Linked DNA regions of Xenopus tropicalis. The protein of the gene in region 1 purifies or fractionates together with the protein of each later gene. This does not show direct contact. Links are inferred from orthologs where the notes say so. Each region holds a gene or a part of one and is shown on either strand. Other genes may lie near its edges.

Evidence for each region. Proteins that work in one complex are often made in the same cells at the same time.
Region 2: the proteins of prdx2 (region 1) and sod1 fractionate together in Homo sapiens (co-fractionation; 3 studies listed by BioGRID, with this or other methods). This does not show direct contact. The link is inferred for Xenopus tropicalis from reciprocal best matches to the Homo sapiens genes PRDX2 and SOD1.

Annotation. Positions count from the first base shown.
Region 1 is NC_030679.2:140,340,468-140,343,005, reverse strand, and holds the end of prdx2 (peroxiredoxin-2), read right to left. Parts: intron 1,510-2,538; coding exon 1,387-1,509; intron 1,308-1,386; coding exon 1,177-1,307; intron 782-1,176; coding exon 696-781; 3' UTR 546-695; downstream 1-545.
Region 2 is NC_030678.2:15,648,533-15,652,628, forward strand, and holds the start of sod1 (superoxide dismutase [Cu-Zn]), read right to left. Parts: upstream 2,808-4,096; 5' UTR 2,792-2,807; coding exon 2,723-2,791; intron 1-2,722. UniProt on the Homo sapiens protein: Destroys radicals which are normally produced within the cells and which are toxic to biological systems.

The DNA.
Region 1 (2,538 bases):
AATTTTTTGATGTTACTGTTCCTTTAATGGTGAAGACACACAGAGCTACTTAGTAGCAGCTACTAAATGCTAGAAAATACCCTGTCACAGGCATTACTGAGGATAAATAAAACCCCCAAAACCACAGGTAAAGACAATTATCAGTAAATGATCAACATGGTCTACTTTAGCAGTCGTGACTAGTAGCCCCATGTGCCTTTACCCTAATAGTTTTGGGTTTAGTGGTGAGAACTTCCCCCTTTTTTGCTACAAGTATATTCACCAGCTGGTTAGAGACTATTTAACTACTCACACATAAACCTATTCCCCCCCCCCCCCCCCCACGGCCACGTGACAAACTGAGCTTTAGTGACTCGGTAGATGAAGGCTGGCAGCCAGGCTATTCTGCAGAACTACAATATGTATTATCAGATCACCCTCTGCTGGAGGCAACGGGTATTACAACCAGATCCACTAGTGCAGAGCACACAGATTCCAATAGGAATTCCTTACCCACTGATACCACAGACAGCTTCTTTCCAATTGGTCAGCTTTGAATGAAACAGTTTTTTTTTTTAAGAAGACTTTTAATTAAGATCAGGAGTAAGTGCTGTCTCTTCCCTACAGAAGGAAGCACTGGGAGTGGCATCTGTTTGGCCAGTGAAGAGGTCAGTGCATTGGATCCATGAGCCACCTTGTGAGTAGGCTTCAGCCGGTCAGTATTCTTTAGAGAAGAACTCCTTGCTGTCCTTTACATTGGGCTTGATGGTGCTGCTGCCGGGCTTCCATCCTGCAGGACATACTGGAAACAGAAGGGATTGCATTTAATCTGATTTTACATGGGCACACCATATGCCAATGTCCTTGTACTGCCACCTATGCCCCACCATAGGAAACTACCTATTCAAGGGGAAGTTAACCTTTTAGTATGTTGTAGAATGTCCTATTCGTAACTTTTTAACCTTTGTCAGGCTACAATTTAGTTATTGTTCCTTTTTATTCCTTATCTTTCTATTTAGTCCCACCACTATTCCTATTGGTCTCTCATTTCAACCACTGGTTGCTAGGTTACTTTGGACCCTAGCAACCAGATAGATGCTGAATTTCTTAACTGTAGAGCCACAGATCAAAAGAAAATACTCCAAAATTTGCAAAAAAAAAAAAAAAAAAGTAAGCTCAGACTTGCCCATTCCTTACCCTCGCCATGTTGATCCGTGTACTGGAATGCCTGCACCAGGCGCAAGGTCTCCTCCACAGAGCGGCCAACAGGAAGGTCATTAATGGTTATCTGGCGAAGGTTTCCTTTTCCATCAATAATGAAGAGCCCTCTGAAACACAAGCCTTCATTCAGTAATGCACGTGGCACCTCTGGTTATAGGGAAAAGGGGTAAAACGAGCCTCACCCACCTGTAGGCAACTCCATCCTCTTCCTTCAGGACACCATAGTCCTTTGCAATAGAATGAGTCAGATCAGACACCAGGGGTATGTTAATGGGCCCCAAACCGCCTTCTTTACGGGGTACATTGGTCCTGGAATATAATAGTGCATTCATATCTGTTATAGGTCCACCTTAACCTCTTTCAATCCCCTCTTTCCTAATATAACACCTAAATGTTTCAGATAACTGCACCCACTCTAAACCACACCCAGCTTCGATAAACCTCATTCATTCTTTACTGCTGCGCTGCAAGTTGGAGTATGTCACCCCCCCATCCCAGTAAATCAGCATTGTCTTTTAGTAGCCATGGCAAGTAGCTGCTACTAGTAGTCTCTTCACCTTTAACCTTAATTAGCTTGTACAGTAAAGGGTATATTATATACATTATATTAATAGTATATACACAGTAGGCACTTGTTTATAAGTCACTGTACCATTATTTACAATTCCAGATCCTAAATACATTATGCAGTGGGGGCAGAAGAAATGGGGTTCTGGAATGCATTACATTCAGAGAGAGACAGGGGCACCCAAAATAAATGAAATACAGTGAAAAGCAGTATTCCTGAAGGCTAGAAAGGATTTCAGCATTGTAGAAGTTCACATTGCTCACTAGCCCCACCTAATGGTGCACATGAGAATGGCACCCAGCAGGAGAAACCGTTTTGCTAGTATGACTTTGGTCATATTGAAAGTACATTGAGCAGAAGAAATAGGTTACCTGAAAGCAGTTCTAATGTGTAGCGTTGTGTACAGTAGACACAAAGCCCACTCCCATTTTAAGCCACTCGTTATGGTTCTAAAACATCTGCACTATTGCAGTTTTTTGGGTGGGGAGTGTGACCCAGTGCTGGGAAGATAAGATGTTATGCTCCATGCAGATTAGAGGCCTCTATTCCTCAAGGGTTTTTGCCGACTTTTTGCTGTTTTTTTACTGTGTTAGGGTTAATTGTTATGAGCTAAATACAATGCTATGTGCAGTATGAGGGCATTATAGTGCGATTTATTCAGGCCCGGACTGGCAATCTGTGGGTTCAGGCAAATGCCAGAGGGGCTGCTGTAAGGTGCCATAGTCACTCACCATTTATTGGGCCTATGGGGGGGGCTGTTTGGGCCTCTG
Region 2 (4,096 bases), on another chromosome or scaffold:
GGGATATATATGGCTACAGCATTTGGATTCAGCGAGGCGCAGGCTCTAACTGAACCCCTACCCTGAGTCACATGACTATTAAAGCTCTAGACGACTGAATGTAATAACGCTGCACATGTGGGCAAATCCGCATATCGTGCCAGTGCCACAGATTCAACTTGTCTTTTTAAACACAGCCCATGTTACTGGCCACTCATGCAGCAGATGGATCAAAAAGTGCCAGCACCTGAGGGGTTAATGGCATATGGCCCGCCTACAGAATGGGAAACCAATCAGAGCCACAGAGAAGATTCCTGACCTCGGGTTCATTTTTAAGCTGACTTATCTGTGGGATTGTGGGAGCTGCAGTCCAACACTGCCCGTCTCAGACACCGCTGGCACTGCTGCAGCCAATGAAACGCCGGAGCAAATGGCTGTTATTGCAAAACAAAGCTCGACGTTCCAGTCCCAAAGTGCTGAGTCACACTTACACAGCAGTGCCCTAACTGCCTGGCATTGTGCCCTATCTGCCTGGCATTCTGCCACACTGGCTGCTTCTATTGCAAAGAGCCCAGATGCAGTCAGATAGTGGGAGTTGTAGTTCAACCGCATCTAGCGGAGTCCCTGGGCCCAACACTGCTCTACAGACAGTGAATGACTGCACAATGTGGCTAATGGTGAGTGTGTGCCCTGGGCATAAACAGTGAGGGCTTGTGCTGCATCAGGGCCCCCCTGGCACAATTGCACTAACTGGCACAGCCTCAACCTGCCTGCCCAGCAGGCTAATTACAAGGAGATAACCAAGAGTGGCTTTGCCAACATGTATAATCCCCATGCCACATGGCCACAAAGCAGCGAGCCCCCGGCCCTCACACCCACACAACAGATGGCCGCTCTGACCCGACTTCCCCTCGCTGAGAGCCGCAGCTTAGCCCAGTGATAGCCGGCCCGCTGGCACGTCATGCAGCCTGGGCCTCACTGCAAACACACAGTCTGGGGTGAAAGGGCGGCACGTGACACACCAACCAGAACAGCGGGTCACAACATCAACCTGTGACTCTCCTGTATAACTAAACTATAACTCCCTGCATGCTCTTTGTGTTCATTGTAACCAATAGCAGCACTGGGCAAAGCCCTGGGGCACTGGTTTCAATTCCCTGGAGTTATGCAGGGCACCCATTCCTCATCTACTACATGGCAGGAACGGCTCCGGCAGGGCATGGGGCACTGGTAACAATGCATGTGTATAAGGACAGCAGACATGGGCACAACTGGCACCACAGGCTGTATGAAACTACAACTCCCAGCACCTACTTGTTCTGGAAGGTATTTTTGCAGGGCACTAAGCAGCAAACTAAATGATTCTGTGGGATTTCCCTACAGCGCAACATGGACTTTCCCCCCTGGATTCTGTGCTGTGGGGGTGGGACACTAGGTACAGAGCTAAAGGCAAGAGGCCTGGGAGAGGAGAGAGAGAGTGAGAGGGGGGGGGGGGGGAGACTAACGTGTGCATCCCACTTACAGCCCTCTGTTATTATACAACTCCCATCAACTGTCATTCATGATATAGCGGTCAGTGGGCTGCGGGGAGTTACATATCCCTCACCGAGTGGCGCTCACACCCCGGGGCCCTATAACAAGCGCTGTGTGTAGGAGAGACCGTGGAAGTGGCACAGGGGCCACAGCTTATGTGGAAATGATTTGTTCCCACCAGTAAAAGTCTAGGACAGAGACAAGACCCCCCCACACCTATACTGGCAATGCAGAAATACCCTCCTATGGGACTGTCCCTCCGCCTCCCAGCATGCACTGCCAACCCAACCGCCTCCCAGCATGCACTGCCAACCCAACCGCCTCCCAGCATGCACTGCCAACCCAACCGCCTCCCAGCATGCACTGCCAACCCAACCGCCTCCCAGCATGCACTGCCAACCCAACCGCCTCCCAGCATGCACTGCCAACCCAACCGCCTCCCAGCATGCACTGCCAACCCAACCGCCTCCCAGCATGCACTGCCAACCCAACCGCCTCCCAGCATGCACTGCCAACCCAACCGCCTCCCAGCATGCACTGCCAACCCAACCGCCTCCCAGCATGCACTGCCAACCCAACCGCCTCCCAGCATGCACTGCCAACCCAACCGCCTCCCAGCATGCACTGCCAACCCAACCGCCTCCCAGCATGCACTGCCAACCCAACCGCCTCCCAGCATGCACTGCCAACCCAACCGCCTCCCAGCATGCACTGCCAACCCAACCGCCTCCCAGCATGCACTGCCAACCCAACCGCCTCCCAGCATGCACTGCCAACCCAACCGCCTCCCAGCATGCACTGCCAACCCAACCGCCTCCCAGCATGCACTGCCAACCCAACCGCCTCCCAGCATGCACTGCCAACCCAACCGCCTCCCAGCATGCACTGCCAACCCAACCGCCTCCCAGCATGCACTGCCAACCCAACCGCCTCCCAGCATGCACTGCCAACCCAACCGCCTCCCAGCATGCACTGCCAACCCAACCGCCTCCCAGCATGCACTGCCAACCCAACCGCCTCCCAGCATGCACTGCCAACCCAACCGCCTCCCAGCATGCACTGTGCATCTCATACTGCCTAAGGGGAAAGGCTGGTTGGAATTGCACAGATGGCGCAGGCTGCAGGAACACTAGCAGCTGAAGGCACAGGACAGGCCCAGTAAGGGTAAGCGCATAAGGCACAATGCCTAAAGCCACGCTACAATACTCGCCTGTTGCTGGAAGTGCACCACCCCCTTCACGTCGCCGCTTCCCGCCAGCACACACACCGCCCGCACCATGACTGCAGCTACCGAGACCGGACAGCGGAGAAAGCGGAGCCGCGCACCTTGAGAGACAACTAGTGACACAAACGTACCACGTGATTCCTCCAACCAATAAAAGCGGCGCTTTAGGCCCCACCGCCCCAGCAGCTGAGCCAATGGGCTGCTCCCTCAACCACGTGACCCGCGGGCTGCCTGTAAGCTCTGACTCCGCCCAAATCTTTATTCTTGGTTGTATAATCAATAAAAATATCATTTTAATTAACAACATTTATTTGCACAGTTTCAGTGCTTTTAACGTTATTTGTAAATGCAATTGCTAAGGCAGTATCTGCTTATCCCTTTTTATTCTTGGGTTTTGACTTGAAACTGTAGCAGAAGTGTTAATGGGCGGATTTACATTAATGCTGAACTTCTCCAAACCCACCTGTTACTTCAAAATAAATACAAAATAAAGTATTTAAAAAAAAGATTTCCTTACTGAGCAGTGCTACTGACACTATGGGGCCCATTTACTAAACAATTTTGAGATAAATTCGTATTTTTATAGAACATTTTGGAATGTATGGGAAAAAGTCAGTTTCATGGTTTTTCATGGTTTTCGGTAAAATTTCCATGAAAAAGTCGTATTTTGTGCACAGAATATGAACATTTTGGAATTCATTATCGCTATGGTTACACTTTGGGACGTTGCCAGGTTTGTCAAGTGCCATTGAGTCCTATGGGGGCTTCAAAAACTGTTTTTGTGGCGTTTACAAACTTTCAGAACGCAATTGCGATATTTTTGCACAAACGATAAAAGCTTTGTCGAGACATTTTAGAACTACAGAAATTATCGTGTTTACTTTGCATTTCAAGGCCAGAAAAAAGCGCATTTTAGTAAATGTGCCCCTATGTCTGTTTCTTGGAAAAGCCCCAGGCTCCGCCAAACTATCCCGATCCCTGGCTGCCCTCCCCTATTGCTCCCTCGCTGCCCTCCCCCTGCTGATCGTGGAAAAAGTAAGTATAAGTTGCACTGGGGGGGGGGGCTAGCCTTAGATGAGTAGCCGGTGGGGGTGCCAGAGGGGGTGAGGGGACCCCTGGGTAGCAGTCGGACCCTGGCACTGGAGGGGCTAGCCTTAGATGAGTAGCCGGTGGGGGTGCCAGAGGGGGTGTGGGGGCCCCTGGGTAGCAGGATAGCATAAATAATGCCTGGGTGCAGGATAGCAAAGCATCTGTATAGTATGTATAAATGCCGCACTCACAGGTCTTATGAAAACAAAAAATATTTATTAGCAAGGACTAACGTTTCGGCTGACACAGCAGCCTTTCTCAAAGTGAATG